3 linked regions of the Drosophila melanogaster genome follow. The protein of the gene in region 3 interacts with the protein of the main gene of each other region in a pairwise test. Each region holds a gene or a part of one and is shown on either strand. Other genes may lie near its edges.

Evidence for each region. The genes of interacting proteins can lie anywhere in the genome.
Region 1: the proteins of bcd (region 3) and Mst84Dd interact in a two-hybrid assay, tested with the Drosophila melanogaster proteins (2 studies listed by BioGRID).
Region 2: the proteins of bcd (region 3) and CycK interact in a two-hybrid assay, tested with the Drosophila melanogaster proteins (2 studies listed by BioGRID).

The regions. Positions count from the first base shown.
Region 1 is NT_033777.3:7,362,807-7,365,618, forward strand, and holds Mst84Dd (Male-specific RNA 84Dd), read right to left. Parts: upstream 968-2,812; 5' UTR 885-967; intron 833-884; 5' UTR 811-832; coding exon 592-810; 3' UTR 501-591; downstream 1-500. Other genes in the region: Mst84Dc (Male-specific RNA 84Dc), read right to left, coding at 1,556-1,723; Mst84Db (Male-specific RNA 84Db), read right to left, coding at 2,475-2,699.
Region 2 is NT_033779.5:22,124,143-22,132,370, forward strand, and holds CycK (cyclin K), read right to left. Parts: upstream 6,001-8,228; 5' UTR 5,582-6,000; coding exon 4,379-5,581; 3' UTR 798-4,378; coding exon of another isoform or gene 640-797; 3' UTR 143-639; downstream 1-142. Other genes in the region: CG3651 (uncharacterized protein), read left to right, coding at 1-74, 640-797.
Region 3 is NT_033777.3:6,754,577-6,762,024, forward strand, and holds bcd (bicoid), read right to left. Parts: upstream 4,891-7,448; 5' UTR 4,696-4,890; coding exon 4,531-4,695; intron 3,994-4,530; exon of another isoform or gene 3,972-3,993; coding exon 3,896-3,971; intron 3,856-3,895; coding exon 2,897-3,855; intron 2,385-2,896; coding exon 2,100-2,384; 3' UTR 1,266-2,099; downstream 1-1,265. UniProt on the Drosophila melanogaster protein: Segment polarity transcription factor that provides positional cues for the development of head and thoracic segments.

The sequences.
Region 1 (2,812 bases), 610 kb from region 3:
GCAGCCATTAATAATTGACTGGGACCAGCTACATGGGGCGTATGAGTAACATTGCTTGGAAATCATTTTGATTGGCCTCGGCCACGCCTCTTTTGGCACCATTTACTTCAAGGTACTTGACACTAATTAACATCCCCTATTTGGCTAATTTAATTGCTGCAAGGGCAGGATTACTTTTTATTTTCCAACTGCATCGTCCCAATTACCTGAGCATGTTGGCATAAACCAACTGCTCCTTTTAAGCCCAATGCAACTATTACGTGTGTGAATGTATTGCCGCAGGCTTCAGTGTTAGCCTGGTCTATTGTCCTATGGTGATTGTCCTATGGAGATTGCTTCTCTCTTCAGCTACTGCCTTTTTGGATTGGCTTGTCATTCGTCATCGGCTTGTGAAGCAAAGGTAGCAGAGGAAAAGCAGTAATCTTTATAGTTCTTGTACGGAGTGTGAATGAATGAAATTGCAATGATTACATTGGCTCCCTGCTAAGATCCATTAATTTGATAGTTTTCATAGTTCCCCTTTATTTGTCACAATAGACTAATGAAATCTTTTTTTGGACACAGTTTGGTTGCTTATTCGGGAAATCACAGCTAAAAAGGACAGCACCGCTGAAGGCCATTTCGTTTTTCCATAGTGCCACAGCACGGTCCACAGGGTCCGCAAGGGCCACAACGAGGTCCACAGGGGCCACAGCAGGGCCCGCAAGGTCCACAACAGGGTCCACAACAGGGTCCACAACAGGGTCCACAACAGGGTCCGCAACACGGTCCACAGGGTCCGCAGCAAGGTCCGCCCGGTGCACAGCCCATGTTTTTTTTTAATTTCTGAGAACTAAAAGAAAAGCTATTATACCAACAATTTTCTTAAATAAAAAACTACGTACAAAGTGCTGAACCTAAAAAGCTTGGAAAAGAGCTCAAATTTTGATGTTCTTGGGTTAAGGGAAAGATGAAAACTGATGTTTGCTTACATAGAACTTGCACAGGAAAGTAGAATATAGATTCAAAGCCTTCTAGATTTAAAATAAACAAATGCAAAATTAATAAAAATTTTATATCAATGCCCTAAAAGGAATTTAATTTTGTTCTTTAGTGAATTTTACAATAACGTGCTTAAGAAAATGTCCTGCCGTAGCAAGCAGTACAACTGATCCAGATGGGAACAACAAAGAACGTCCTAGTGAAGCTCGTCGGAAGGCAGAATCAATCACCTTGAGACGTCATTCGTGTAAAATAAAATGGTATTACCAAGAACGTCTCAACCATTTCCATATAGCAACTTGTGCTCGCAGCGCAATACAATCTGCTCGCTTAGTATCCGGCTAGTGTTCCTGATCAAGAAACCTACACCCACATACATATTACGAAACGCATTCCTATTATGTCAACGAGTAACGCCGAGTAAGAGCAATGGTGAACTATCCCAATGATAACATGGATCTGCATTAAGATACATATATATATATTTGTGGCTTTTAACTTTCAGGTGTTAGTTTAACCATGGTGGGATTGTGGTATGGTTTCACAAATCGATTCGGCTGCCAATTGCGAGCATTTAGCACCAACAGCCACCGCAACAACTGCCAAATGGTCCGCAACAAGGTCCACAGGGTCCACAGGGTCCACAGCAGGATCCGCACGGCCCACATCGGGGTCCACAAGGTCCACAGCAGGGACCACAGCAGTAATATCCGCAGCACGATCCACAAGGTCCACAGCACATGATTAATTCGAGAAGTCTAAAATAAACGAAATAAATATGTATACTATTTTAACTTTACAATAAACATTTTTACCAACGGTCTTTAGAAGCCAAAAAAAAAAAACAAGTATTTGGGACAAAACAACAAAATTTTGATGCGAGCAGCACAAGGGTCGAGATGAGAATGATATATTTTCCGAACTTACAAGGTTAGGTGGGTCTGACAGGTCAAGAACGATTTCCATAGCCTACTATGAATTCGAATTATGTTTATGTACAGCGGTTGATGGTTAAAAATAGTTATTATTGTTATAGAATTATTGTTATCGGACATTTGTCCGTTTGCAGACAAATACTATTATTGAATGAGGTTTAAATTCACGGTTGCAGGTTTTATACCCGCCACTCGTAGAGTAATAGCTATGCTATAGTGAATAGAAGAAAAGGTTATTTATTCTTGAGCTGGATCACAAGCCTAGTCGATATGAACGTAGGATGTTCCTCCGCCCCCTCTAACGATCGCAATCCACCAAGAATTGACAATTTTAATTTTCGCAATTATATTACATAAATTATTATTGTCACGCATTTGGTATCCATAGCTAAGACAAAGGTTGCACCATTTAGAAGAGAAAAACCATCGGAAAAGGTATTTTGAAATTCTTATTTTATTGACTAGGCCCGCGAGCTAAGAAGAGTTTATCCGCATTCAGTCCTAAGTTCCACTTTGTGGTTCACAGGAAAAAGATATTTTACATGTTGTGGTTGTTGTTCAGCACCCGCAATATGGCCTACAAGGTCCACAGCAAGGTCCACAAGGCCCGCATGGACCACAGCCCCCGCAGCAAGGACCGCAAGGACCGCAAGGGCCGCAAGGCGCACAGCAAGATCCACAAGGACTACAGCAGGAACCGCAAGGACCACAGGGTCCGCAAGGTCCGCAAGGACCGCCGCACGGGCTACAGGGTCCGCAGAATCCAAGGGGTCCGCAACACATGATGGTTCCGTAAAGTTCTAAGAAAAATTTTGTTAAAACTTCGCATGCTTACACTTTGAGAAATACTCACTTTGAACCTAACAAAGAAATAACTTAGGACGAAAAAATATTTC
Region 2 (8,228 bases), on a different chromosome or scaffold from region 3:
TGCCTGGGCACGTTGTCGAGATCTTTCCCTCCTTCAGCAACTAGATGACCGCTTTCATTGCGCAAACGTGATGGGTAAGATGTTCTATAGAGTTGTTTTTTCATAGTTTGTATATAAAAGTTTTACTCGGTATTGATATATTACATATTTACATATTCAGTAAGAAAAATGTTTTCTAATCATAAAATAGAACGCTATAGTCGGCTTCGCCGATTTTAAGATACCCGTTACTCAGCTAGTAGAAATGCGATCGCGAAATTTCATAATTTTTCTGGAATATCGATAGATATACAAATATATATATATGGATTAGTAAGTATTGTTACCCCTGACACAGAGACACTAAACAAGTTCTTTTCTTTAATTGTAAACTAATGAAATTTTGCCAATATACGCAAGAGGGAAGCAATTTGACCTTAATTAGGCTAGTCCGTGAGACTACATAATTGCTACCCTAAGAACTTTAGGGAAGTCAATTAATGACGAGAGAATCTTATAGTCGATTTATTCAAATTTCAGATTTCCGTTACTTAGCCAGTGGGCGTAACAATTTTTGTAAGGTTAACGCAGAATACAAGTCATTTCAAATTGTATTAAATTGTTATTTTTTTTTACAAAATAACATTCTATTTTTTTCAGGAAAGGTTGGTCACATCGTGCGTCAGGCAACAGTAGCAGCATCCACACAAGCACAGGCATCGTCGTCAACCTCCTTTTGTAAACGCACCCTGCCCGAATATTTAATGATCCCGCAGTATTACATGAGTGGGGTACTGACTCTAACCCGCAAATGTTAGGACGTATTTGCACAACCACTCATTTATTTTCACATTAAGCCGGATACACATCATCTCTCTAGAAGTGCTTAGCCCAGTTTTATTGTTTAATTTTTTTTAATAAGTCATCTTCCATATTAAATCAGGTGATCGCATGGCCGTGACCCACCGCTTAAGTCGGGTTCAAAAGTCTCTCCGCTCTAAAAAAAAAAGAAAATAAAGAAACTCAAAGTTTAGTTGGTGTTTAAAGCTCAAAAATGTTTTCTATGTAGGCCATAATATACAGGTATCAATACAAATATATGTATCTGCCTCGCCTATCAACGCCTTATATTGTAATGTGCATATTTGTTTACGGAATACGTAATACATATGTATGTATGTACATATGTACATATACATATGTAATTATACCCGTTACTTGTAGAGTAGAAAGGTATACTAGAGTCGTTGAAACATATGTAACAGGTACATAGTTTTCCGGTCATATAAGGGAAATATATAGCATTCTCTCTTGTTTTGTTATTCGAATTTTGCATTAGATTGTTTTGCTAGCGAGTGAGCGCCATGCGTTAGAAATAATTGTGACACAGAAGCCTATTTAAAACAAACATGGCCAGCAAGGGTAACATAAGGTCACAGTTTTTTAATTGTTTGACAGCAAGAATTTTTAACGACTGCAATCCAAGTGCTTAAACTTTTCTCATAAGGCTGGCTGTGTTCTGCACGTCGTTCAAGGGCCGTGACGCAACATAATTGCTACTGCAGATTTTTGGATAATATAAATAAAAATAATATAATAAAAAACATTTTCTAACTCAACTCATCTCAGTTGATCATCATCTTCCTGAATTCTTCTTTCGTCTTCGTTGTTACCCGCCTTTCGTTTTTAATCTTACTTTAGCGTTATATATATATACATGTCTGAAAACAAAACAGTATGAGATACACACCACACATATATTGGAAAAAATATTTCTCGGATTGGTGGGCCAGCTCAAAGACAGGAAAAAGGCTCTACATTCGAATTAAGACAATCAGAATTTTATTATACTCTATGCTTTTTATAAGAAAGGGATCTTGCAAGCGGTTTATAACTACATTGAATTAGCTGATAAGTTTCTACTAAGAGTTCCCTGCGTATAGAACGACATATTTCTTGCTGGTCCAAATTTTTGTGTTGCTTTAAAACTCACAAGTTAGTTTCTAGCACGTATGAATGTCACTGTTACTTTACAACGAATCTAGTATACTCTCTCTATACGAGTCACGCGTATAGTTAGTAAGCCGGCTACTAAAAAACAAATCAAGAATTTCTGCTGTTTTAAATTTAAAATTCAATCTTCTTTAATTACTTATTTAACACTTCAACGGCCAGGAGAATGTTATTTTTCAGGTAAAAGTGTTAGTCCAACACGGACTATCGTTTTTCAGGTCGTGAACGACTTACTGGCATAAACATGTTCTGTCCAGTTGGCTATATAGCATTACCACTTACCCAAAATTTGTTGTCTTACACAATTCTGTTGGCATAAGCATATTATGTGAATCTTAACTCTTACTCTTAAGTACTGTTAGATTTACTCAATAAAATTAGTTGGAGTATTGACAAGTACGATCTTAATTTATTCCCTTCGACAGAGGTGGTCCTATATCATAACGACTTGAAGACTTGAACTGTACAGAACTGTATGCCAGGCATACTAGTAGAGCACAAACAAATGCAAACTTTTAATCCAGTCAGAACTGGCTTTTGTCTTTCACAAGGTCGACAAACGTGTAGATCCCTTGACAAAAACTCAGCTTCATTGGAAGTACCATAGCATTCTGGCGAAAAACATCAACGGAAGACCTTTCCTGCAACATATATGGCAATAAGTGGGTAGTGATCAGAACACAATGTAAATTTTAGTCTAATAGATTATGCCCTAGCTTTAAACCTTAATATATAATATAAAACTTTCCTTTTCCTATTGCACTATTTATTTAGATGTGTTATTTAGCCCTTGATAAAACGGCAATAAGTAATACTCTAAAGCTTATTCATATTCTTCATATTGATATTTATATAATATTTTATTATTTCTGAGAAATTATTTCTGCATTGAAAAATTTATGTATAACCGCAAAAATATTTTGTTAATTTTTTCGTGTTTTACCACTATATTTGCAATTGTTATAAAAATGAAGTATCCGAATACCTGGTCTAAATATAGCCAACTTACGGTAAAGCAACACTAGAATAATACCAAACTAAAATTATTTTGTTTAGTTAATTTATAAATTACTAAAATTATCATAGTGTCTTTGGTGAAATAGAGGTCCTTGGACCTAGAGCGCGGGAGAACTAAAAGTCAGCTAGATCTTTTAGCGAAAAGATCGAGACGTTTGTAACGAAGCAAGTCAACGAACTGAGACAAAGTAGTTGATGTTTCGAAAGCAGAGCGCGGTAAGTATCACATCAAAGAGCCTGGTTTCAGAGAAATCGACTTTATAAAATTTGAAAGATAAAAGGAAATTAATTATTTTTAACACCATTTAAAAATTAAATTAAATTGAAGAACATCGAACAAAGTCAATAATATTATTTTCGAACATTTTCGTCTTTAGCCTGGAAAACGAAACCGTTGGCCTACGACATAATTATATTTATAATAAACATACGAATCGAGGTAGCCTGGGCAGTCGTTATTATTCCAAGTGTACCATGGGCAAGAATAAAGTCCATGGAAACTGCAAAACTGCACTGTTGTTTCTGATAGCCGAGCAATCTTCGCACACTATGTATCATTCCAAAAATTATTCAAACATCTAAAGAGTTATTATACCCATTAATCGTAGAGTAAAAGGTGCAAGATTCGTTGTAAGTATGTATGTAACAGGCAGAAGGAAGCGTTTCCGACCATATAAAGTATATATATTCTTGATCAGGATCAATAGTCGAGTCGATCTGGCCATATCTGACTTTCCGACTGTCCGTCTGTCCGTATGAACGTCGAGATCTCATGAACTATAAAAGCTAGATGGTTGAGATTAAGCATACAGTTTGCGGAGACACATAGCGCCACACTATTTAAAAATTTTTAGATTTTTCTTCGTTTTATTGTTTGACTTGCCAATTTTTATCTGCATACCAAAAACACTGGCCACGCCCCTCCTTTTACATACAAAACCCCCAAAACTGCCACGCCCACACTTTTGAAAAATTGTTCTCACATATTTCTCATGTTTATCTTCCACTGTTATAAACTTCGCCGTTACTCCAATTCCGCTTTGTCTCAACGTTTCGCCAATTTTAATAAGAATCTATTTTTGTTAGTGCCCCAATGTCCAAAATATTTTTTTCTAGTTCATTTGGTTTTATTCAGTTTTGGAAACATCATTTCAGCAAAATTCTGCTAACAAGTACATGTGAAAGGGTAAGGACTTAAAATAAGGGAATAAAAATCATTGATAAATACCCCGGGACAATATTGGGCCTAGAGTGTAACCAAAAAAGAAAACCGAACCGTACGAAGATCCCCGCTCTAAATCCTATTCCGAACGGTTCGCTAGTTTTAATATACAAATTTTTTTTACTTGTTTATTAGTCATTGCATCTACTAGTAGCGCTGCTGCGATGGACGCCCACCGGCGTTGTAGTATCCACTGGCTCCTGGAGGCAAGCTAGGCGGCATTGGTGGTGGTGGTGCAGCGCTCCCGCTATAGTGTCCGACCACTGTCTGCTGGACTCCCCATCCGGAAGAGGGGTACGGCGGCATAGGCACTACCGGCGGGGGCGGCGGTGGAGGAGCATGATAAATGTGGTACCCGGATGGCTGACCTGGTGGTGTTGGGCCCTGTAACAGGTTCTGGGAGTCGCTAGGACCAATGATTGGCACGCCACTGGCTAGGGATTTAATGCTCTGAATGTTGCTAACTTCCAGCACGCCACCGTTGCCACATACGGGGGGCGGCGGCTGTTGTGGAACGGAAAGTGGTCCAATACCCGTAGAATTGGTAAGCTTGCCGGATTTTGGACTGTCGGCTCTGCTTGGTGGCTTTTGGGGCGGACTGGTTGGCTGGAGCGCTTCTTTTTGGGTTGATTGGTACAGGTCCAGAACTTGGTGGCAGATGTCTTCGAGTATTTCCATCGTTACATCAGACACAAACATATCCCACCAACGCTGCTGCTGTGGCTGGCGGCCCTCCCAGTCTTGCACAGTGAATTTGCTTAGCTTGCTGGCCAAATGGATAAGAGCCACGGCGATAATCTCCGGCTCCCACTGTAGACAAACTACTGTGCTGAGAGAGTCGTTGACGAAGTTCCACGCCATTTGCACCATCTTTTGCAGCTTCTGCTGGTCGCCTTTGAAACACTTAGCGTACTTTAGGAGAAAGGTGTAAGGATGCTCTACTTGCAAATCGAATTTGATGGTCTGCAGCAGAATACGCTCTAGCGTCATCACCTCCTCCTTAGGGTCGTCGCCAAACGAGTAGAAGTAATTGTCGGTAAGGATGCCACGCGCAGTTTTAATAATGTCGCGACACTTCTTTGGCGTCTCCTCCACCTTGCCAGCAAAGAACAGGCAGCAGCACGCAGTCACGTACCGGGGGAAACTCCGGAACGAATGAAACATGTAAAATCGGTGAAAATATACAACGCCGGTGGCCATCGTGTTGTGGCCCAAGCCCATTTTGGTGCCACATTCCATAATAAATCGAGCACCTTCTTTTCTGTACCGCCGCTCCGTTTCGAAGCTTATTCCATCCAAGATCGAGGGCGTCTCCCGCAGCTCCTTTTTGTCGTAATACCAGCACGGCATCGCGGCAATTTAGGCTGCGGGTACTACCAGTAGTCCGCGTCGTTGGAAGGAATTTGTGTTAAACCTTTAGCCAAATGGTTGTCAGCATATGCGCGTCCTGGAGCCGATAAGCGCTTTTGTTTATTGTAAATAAATCAGTTTTCGATTTTTATGTTCACTTGCAGTGTTACCATGTCTACGACGATGAAGAAAAAAACTTTATTGGAAGCCCCTTTTACACCAAGACCACGACGATTTTGAGTATATGGAACAACTTTATTGGTAAATAGATAACGCAAAAATTTTCGATCTCTTGCGGGTCAAACTGAATATTTTTTGTGCGTTTGCTAGTTTTGGTGACTTAATTTTGGGATATAATTAAACAGATATATTTACACGTGGTTTTGGCCGTCCTTTGACTGTTACGAGGAACAAATGGGATGTTTACACTGGAATCGCATTTCCATGTTTTGGAGATATCAAACCAAGCATAGGGATTAGTGATGGGAATTGCGCAATTTGTTTTGTTGTTAAATGGTATATTGAAATAATTCATTATGTATAATCCTACTGGATAACAAGTATTTCAATTTAAAGCATAGATAGCATTCGTTAAACATTATAAAATGTAATAACAAGATTATGAGCAGTGTAAGCGCTTTCTATTTAATAGTAATTACTTCTAGTAATGTGGTGATGAATTTATTATAACCGTTAGTCGTATTTTCGTATTCCGACCATTTAAGGTATATATATTCTTGATCAGGACCAATATCCTAGTCGATCTGACTATAATTTAATTAGTCTTTTTAATTTCTATCGATTTGTCAATAAAATTTTTGCCACGCGCACTCTAACGCCCTAATGCCACACTTTGGAACAATTTTGAAATTTTTTATCATTTTATATCCCATTATCTATCGATATTCCATAAAATTGATGCAATTTCGCGTTTGTATTCACACTAGCTGGTAACGGTTATTTGATAGCCTTGGAACTCGACTATAGTATTCTTTCTTTTATTATTAATATAAACGCGAGTGATGGCACTATAATTTTATTATGTTTCTATATTTTTTATGTTTCTATAATGTGTGTTAAATTCTTAAAAATCGATATATATCACTCAAATTACATAATAATGGAAAACCGAAACGTGAGCTTGATAGAGCGAAACAACCAAATCAGTCGAGATGCTTCTTTTTAACGTAGAAAATGTTATGTATATTTTTCTTTGAATCATGCACTTAGGCTAGTGAACATATTTTCAAACCTTACCGCTCAAGTGATCATTGACTTAAATAAAATTTTACAAAACTCAAAGAACATCCAGCAGCACGCAGACACGTATCAGGGGAAACTCAAGAATGAATGAAACACGTAAAATCGGTGAAAATATACAACGCCGGTGGGGATCGTATTGTTTTAATAATATTATATTTTTTAATGAAGTACAGATAATATGGAATTGACTTTGATTGAATTTAAAAATGTATATTAAAATTTATCAGTGATAACAAACATTTTATATTTCTTTCACCAAGTGATTCAGTATATGTATACAATTCTAGTATTTTAACTTCTATTTAACGAGCACTTAGGGAATGTGAATTTCCGTCATTCGACTGCGCCAATTGCATGCTAAGTATTTGGTTGCGGTTAACAACCAAGGCCGGAGTACCCCCAACGTTGAAAACTATCTACGTCTCACAAGACAAGCAATTACGATCTCGAACTTCAAAAAGGTAAACAAACCCAAATGTTGTGCAAATTCTAACGTTTGATCACCCCTGATCGCAGATTCCGTCTATGCGGATTGTGTTGTTATCCTGGGAAAGCTACAAATACCGCGTATAAATTTGCTATATTCGTAATTGGGTTCGAAGCTAAGCGATGCCCAGCCTACCAGTTCGGCGTACACGGAAGGATTCCCAATTGGAGAACGATGACGATCTTGGTCGTATTGCCCAAATTTATCCCACCTATGCTACACTCAGGTAGATATTTTTGGATCAGCCGCAAATTTCCTGGCTTGGCTATGTCAAATGACTTAATCGACATTTGATTTCACGGTTTTATTTATACGGACATACATACATGTATTTCATATTTTAAAATATACATATTTGCCTTATTTAAAAAATAATAATTAATGCTTACTGACTAGTACCTTCCGATTTTGTTTAAAATAAACACGTAATTATTATCTCCTAAAACTAGTGCAGGCTCACAATTACCACCTGCCTTTCAAAAATGACTTAAAGATAAAGAAATGTGAAAAATTCATTTACTCACTAATTTGAAACTTAAACTAATAATATACACACATTTGTAATATTTTAAGCATAAGAAAAGTTAGTATGCATTCAATTTTATTGTTTGTGCATTAATATGTAGTTATTTTTACGCTTTTAGGTATTTAAATATAGTCCGACATCAAATTAAAACAAGAGAGGACGCAATAATCAAGTTGCCCGACTATTACATATCCGTTACTTAGCAGTCAAATTAAAAATCTTTTTGCTTTTAGCTTTTGATTAAAATTTTGAAATCGGTACCCAGGGTACCACTTGGAGGATCATGAGTTGCAACGGGGTCGTTTAAAACAAAATCAATGTTTGGGACCTACTTGAGTTTTCAAACTCCAAACCAAAAATTTGGTTTTCGT
Region 3 (7,448 bases):
GTGAAACCGAAGCTGTTGTCGCGGCTTTTGGTCGCTCGCCGTCCGCAATTATCCTCATAATGCAATGAAAGCAGCGCTGTGAGAAAGGATGCTCCTCGGGGTTTCATGCTCGATTTGGACAGTTTATGGCTCTGCTTGTTTCCAAGGAGTATATGCTCAAGTCTCCGACGCGGCGAATGCGAATCTGTCTCGGGTCTCCGGTCCATAGGCCTTCCCATCCTCAGTCCTCGAACTAGGGAATTGTTCGCAAATTTTATTACTGGCGCTATCGGATTTTCTCCTTCCGAGAATTCGCTAAAAATACGTTGGAACAAAGGAAAAGTCATAACAGGATAACCGTGTGGAAATGTCGCGGCGAGAGTGAGGTACAGTTGAAAATATCTTTACTTAGGTTATATATGAAAATTAACATTTTCGAAATAATATTTTTAGAATTGTCGAAAAGATTCATTTAAAAACATAATTAAAACATGATCTTTTGAAAAGAAGTGCTAAAACTCTTAATTAACTTGTTTAAGTCTTAAGTTAATATCGCAACCATGTTAATGGGTCACTGTGCACAATTGTGAAAAGTATTTACAATAAAAACCTGAACCAAATTAAAAAGCTTTACAATATCAATAAAAAACTAATTTATGAATACTTTGCGATATCTCGCGATATTTGAAAGATGCATAGATGCTATAAATTATCTTCATAAATGGCGGATTAAAAAGTAGTTTATTAATTATAGTAGTTAAACTAGGTGTGATGAAGGGCACAGGAAAACAAGTCTTGTGATAAGTAAGAATGGATTCAGAGCTTGGTTTTCCCAGGACATCCATAATCCACCTACTAAAACGCGCCCAAGATCAATAAAAACTCTATAACTGGGAGAAACCCAATCAATATTCGTTCATATAGGCCCCGTTATTGGACTTCTGGATTTCCCAAAACTTATATCAAAGAAAATAGGGGCAACAAGTTGCCTGGCGGCGCCCCGCGAGTGCTGCCTGTACAGTGTCTACCTAAATAGTGCGACCGCGCGAGGATCAGGCGATAAGAGTATGGGTTTCAGGTAGGTGAATAAACACAGGCAGCTGGTGCAAATGTTTTATGATCCGCGGGTGTTCGCGGAAAAATCGCGAATCATATTTTATGGCAGGCATGTGTGAGTATGTGCAATAAAGTGCATTTTTAAATTCATAAGATTTTCGGGAAAACCAGATACTGTTTTCGTTCATTCTAGAAAGGGACGGAAATATGGGCTAAGTATGTAGTTATGTGTAGTTAGTCACAATTTACCCGAGTAGAGTAGTTCTTATATATTTTCGTAATTAAAAATACAAAGCTTAAAGAGACAACATCAAAGGTGCAGCATTTTAAAATTAAACTTGAGGCCTAACAGATTGCAATGCTCTTCTTAGTGATGTAAATAGAATGTGAGCTATGATAGTTATTCCGTTTGGCAGCAAAAAATCTCCGAATCTGAAACAAATGGTCTGCATTGATTGAAAATACAATTTGCTGACTATTCTTGGTCAAAGAATGCGCAAATGTTTGATTATGTCAGACACTTTGGCATAGCATAGAAATTGAAAATATCATATCAAATATTATTGTTTAAATGTTCGATCTTTAAGGGTAATCATTGTATGAGATTACGCCCAAGAGAAACATTTTTCATTTTGATTAGTACAGTTTTTAGCTATGTCAAATTGTAACAGAGAAGATTTTCTTGCTGGCTCGGAATATAATTTCCGAAATGTGGGACGATAACTTTCCATGGAATACGCTTAAGCCCAAATGGCCTCAAATGTAACTGGTTGCATATTCCCGGGCTTTAGTGGAGCAGCCACCCAGATACATCTAAGGCGAATAGCGTATTGCAGGGAAAGTATAGAGTTAACTGGAGTATCACTAAGATATGCACTGGAATCCGTGCGGCCTGCTGACTAGGCTAGTACATAAAACTTCCCTGGGAACCATTTACACGGATCTTAGGACTAGACCTAACTTTCTACGCGTAGATATCTACAATCACTTGGTATTTGTACAATCAGGAACAACAGTGGTTAACCTAAAGCTAATGAAACTCTCTAACACGCCTCTCATCCAGGCTAATTGAAGCAGTAGGCAAACTGCGAGTTGCCCGCGGCGTTCCGATGGGGATTATACGCTTGCATTATCGTATCCATCGTGCATTGATATTGGTTCGATTCGCCCATGGCCACGCCCCCCATTCCGAGGGGCGGCTGAGGGCCTTGTGGGGGCGAAGGCTTGCCAAATTTGGCAAATGCCGCTCCACGATTTCCGGTTCCTGCTAAGGCTCTTATTCCGGTGCTCATGTCGTCGCTACTGCCATCGTCGCAGCTCTTGTCCAGACCCTTCAAAGGCTCCAAGATCTAGGGAGAGAGCGAACGCATTTAGAACATAAATAAATTCGATTGAAATTGCTAAATTATTGTTACAATTTATAGCTAAAAATGTTCATCAGCATATGAGTCTGTTTTCACTTTTAAAATGCATAGATCTTATTTTTCTGGTCAAAGAAATGCTATTTTAACTTGCAGTGTATTAAGAGTGATTACATGAATAAAAAAGTAAAAAACCCTGAAAACTAAGGGCTTTCAAACGGTTGAAATCTTAACCTTTGATACAAATTCTATATTAAAATACATCTTTAACACTTGTACTTCCCTTTCAGAAATGCCATGTCTAATTTAGAAAACAAAAACTTAATAAGTTAAATGTTAAATATTGGAGAACTCCCAAATCTCATCGATCGGAAATAGAAGTACTTTCAGAATAACATCTCAAACCAGACAGTTTGAAAGTTACAAAGCTTAAAGCTTCAATTTATAAACGCCACACTCAGAATCAAGAGATCAAAAAAGGTTGTGGACTCATGCCTGACCTGTAGCGTCGTCTTCTTGCTCGTTCCGTCGTCCATGTCGTCGGCCGCCTCCGTCTCGCCAACGGCGATGGCGCAAGGTCCGCCGATGCCGATGCCACACAGACTCGGACTTTCGTCATTCTTGGGTGTTAATGGCTCGTAGACCTCGGAGCCCGGCGAGGCAGCGCCTCGGGCCACAGCGGATGCCGATGCAGTGGCGCCAGACATTCCCGATCGCATGTAGTACGAGCTGTTGAAGTTGTAGTCGGCCTCCGGTTCGTCCTTGACCAGGACGCGACAGGCGCTGGCTTGCTTTTGCTGGAAGTCAAAGTGATGGTATTGCTGCTGCTGAGCCTGCTGTTGCTGCTGCTGCATCTGGTGCGGCACGTGGTTGCCCTGGTGGTGCAGTTGCTGCTGGTGATTATGGACCTGCTGCTGCTGGAAGAACTGGCCGCCATTGACATTGGTCGACCCAGGTCCTGGCCCCCCTCCGGAAGGATACTGCATGTGCATGTGACGATTGGCCTGGGCGTGATTGTGGCCTCCATTGTAGTTGTAGTAGGCGTTGAATGACTCGCTGTAGTGCTCCGTCATGTGTGCAGTGGGCGTTGAGGGCGTGGGTGACGGAGTCAAAGCGTTGGGCGTGGCTCCTCCACCCAAGCTAAGAGTCTGCAAGCTGGGGGGATCGCCATCGCTCTGTTTCATACCCGGCGAGAGAGGCATCCCCTCGTAGGACTGGTCCTTGTGCTGATCCGATTGGATCTTGTGACGACGCCGACGGTTCTTAAACCATATCTTCACCTGGGCTGTGCCCAGGGCTAGTTTCGCTGACAGATCCGCAAGTCGGGGGGCTGTGAGGTATCGTCCCTGCAGAAAGTGCTGCTCCAGCTCTGCTATTTGAGAGCTGGTAAAAGTGGTGCGGGTGCGACGTGGTCGCCGCATCACCAGAGAGTCGGGCAGCTCCTCTGAGGGAAAGACATCTGATAAGACGATGGCTGACTTTGTTGGCTTTGAGCTCACCTGGCTTGGGCATCTGGTTGGGCAGATACGGACGTATGTAGTTGTAGTTTATCGCTCCCGTTCGCTCATCGAAAAGCTTCAAAGAATCAAGGGGTACACTGTCTTTATATAAAAACGTGAAAGGACGATTCGCTTCGGGGACCGAATCTTGCAATATTACTTTCACTAATCATCATGCAGGACAACAATGCTTGTTTTAGAAAATATGTTGTATGAAGTGTATAAAGTCAATAATGTATACCCAGTGGCCATAGATGTGGCTTTTGAAAAATAGACATTACTGATTGTCGGTGTGAGTGCAACAGGTTTAACATTCGTCCATTTCAATGAAACACCTTTTAGAACATTTCGGCAAATCACTAATAACATGATGCCCCACAATTCATATACAATTATATACTATACTAACTGTAACGATTAATAATATCAATTGGTTTTTAGATTCTGCTACGATACTTTAAAAGTCACAAACAAGATAATAGAAGATTTCGCCCTATGTTCTAGAAACACATTTGCTGCGGCTCAATAAATGTTTATGGTCATCAGTGATCGCACTGGTTGTTTGTTCACCATAGGGAATCTGTACTGTAGCTTTCCTGGGACAAGAGCCCTTCTCTGCTGCGATGGGAACTCACCAAATCGAAGGGATTTCGGAATTGTGGCGGCAACTGAAGCTGCGGATGTTGGTGATGTGGGTGCGGATGCGAGTGCGGATGCGGATGGGAGTGCGGATGCGGATGTGTGTGCGTGTGGGGCAGCGGATGATGGTAAAAGTTTTGATCTGGCGGCGGTTGCGCCATTTTCCCCAAACACTCCGCCGCGTTATCTTTACGAATTTCCAAGCGCCGCGCGGAAAAATGGCAAAGGAGTGTGGAAACTTTCTTGTATTTTCAGTAACCGGTTACTTTCGAGACGCTCGCGAACTTATTTCGCCCACATTTTGCGTTTTTGCGATCCACTGCTTCGCATCTGCAGAGTGCCGTTATTTAGGGATGAGCGAAGAGATGTAGAGATGGCACAATTGGCGGCCCTCCCTCGATGTTCATTCTTTTGAGTAATTTAAAAATCAATAAGCGTCTACAATACATTTTAGACAAATATTTGGACATTTTATTTTTAAATGTTTGCCTCTAATTTAAAAGTTTTTAATCGAACAGTACGGCAAAGCTGCAAACCGATTGAGTGCACAGCGTTTTCACCAGGGGGCGTGAAGAGACAGCAGTAGAGAGCCCCCTGTCGGGCTGTATTGAAAGGTTGTGCTCACTGACAAAAGGTGAATGTTCTAAAACGTCGGAGGTTTATTTATTTGTAGAGATTTGCATTTGAGAATAATAATAAAAAAAAGCTTGAATATTGTAACAAATAAGTAGAACCAATTAAACTTAAACTCTTTGCTCTGTTTGGAACTTCATAATATTAACATTTAATTAACAAACAGGCACCCCAAATTTAGGAATCAATTAGACAAGTGTCGAATGTTTAATTTGAATTTTTGTTAATATTATAATATTAATATGCTCCAGTCCAGTCCAGCCTGAATTGAACAAAATGTGCACTTTGTAGTTTATTCTGTTACATACTTCCGCTATTAATAACTACATTATTCAATCTTAGTATCGCGAGATATATAAGGACTTGGGACAAAGAATAAGGATGGTGGAGATCGAGTTTGTTTTTCCAAATGATCTCAAACGGCTACGTACGAAAGAAAATATCATATAATCGTTTTGTAAGACAGCATATAGTGCTTGCTATATGTACCTGTTAGGCAGTGCATTATAAAATGTATTAGAAGAATAAAAGGTAACCAGTTGTCGAGTTAATTAGCTGTAGCGTTCGATTCTTTTGTTAATTTTTTTTAAGTTGTTCTACTCATTTCTGATGTTAAGCTAGGATTGGCAATTATTATTTTCAGGCTCCATATTTGGAAAATTCGATATGTTTAGCGTTGAAGAATATTGTGTAAATATCTACAAGCATTAAGTTGCTCAGTGCATTGGCCCAAGCTTTAACATTTTAAAACACACCCAACGAGCCAGTTGACCTTTAAGCAAGTGTCGCAAGGCCTTAAGTGAAATATTTTTTAATGACATTTGCCAAATAATTGTCGTGTTTGCTTTTGGGATCTGGCAGGAGCTTGTTGCTGTTGGCCGGGCTTTGCTGCTTCTGCCGCTGCCAACTGGCAACAAAAGTCAATTCACAGACACTCCAGTCGACGGAGTCGGAGTGCAGCCAAAAGGCAAACAAAATACGTTCGCATAGGCAAAGCCCAAGGATACACACAAAGGTACAGTGGTTGCTCTGACTACAAATACAAATTAAACAGGGCCAGAGCTTTAATACCAATTCGATACCATTGCAACAACAGCATTTCAAATGCTACTTTTTTATATCAGATAAAGATAGGTAGAAAAGGCTATATTTACGTTAAAGGCAAGCTGATATTTTAGAAATTTATTCAAAAACAAAATTAATTACTTTGACACATAATATTGTATTTAGTCATCTGACTAGAAACTAGAAATCTCTGAATGTAACGAAGTTCTGTGCATTCTTACAAATATTACAAAAAGTATCTGCTAGATACCACTGTGCGGAACTGGGCCACAAATTCAGACGCAGTGTGTGACAAAGGACTTCTCCCTTCCCCGCTCGGCGACCCTGAATGCTGAATGCCCCCGTGTGTGCCGCTGCTGAAGCGAAACACCCAAAGAGTCACTGACAGAAACAGGATTCGGGTAATAAATTACAAAATTTGACATTTTCTGTTTTGGATCCGCTTGCGCCTGAATGCGAGCGGCAGCCCTCTCTGTCGCACGCCGTCTAGCCGTCTCTTTCGTTCGGTTTCGGTGTGTGTCCAGTTCGGTCGGGCCAAGTCGAGCGTTGCATGAAGCAGCCGGACCTGCCAGGACCTGGACCAGGACCTGAACCTGCATCCAAGAGGCATCGCCGCAATGGTCATAATGACGCTGCCGGGATGCAGCTGAGGACAAGGAGAGCCGTCAGTGGGCAGCGAGAAAGGGACGGAATAGAAGCGCCCTATGCGGTCCGTTGATAGTTAACTGGAAATTTATTATTTTACACAATTTACAATTATCTGATTCGAATGTGCACTCAGCGACGAGGATTCCGGCAGATGGGCAGTACGAGTGAGAGTGCGGGGGTCCAAGTTCGGACGACAGATGCAGTTGTCCTCCCATGGGAACGGCCTCATTTCAGCAGAAGTCACCGAAACGATTTAAGATGTGATTTAATTTTCCAGAAACTGTGGCCATAGTTTCGTCGCTCTTCGGGGGAATTTCTTCGCCAGACAGACAGCGTCGTCATCAATCATCTCGCAGAGTAAAGCCGGGTTAACCTCGATGGGTTTTAGGGGGAAACTTGGCCCGGGGCTGATCAGGAATCAGGCTGGAAATATGAAAATTAAATGCGTTTGGGCAGCAGAAAGTTTTCGAATGGTTCGGTGCTTATACAACAAGTGAAATTTTGCACATCAAACGGCCTTTGACCACATTTAATCCTTAAATCATCTGCCATAGGAACTAATTGATCG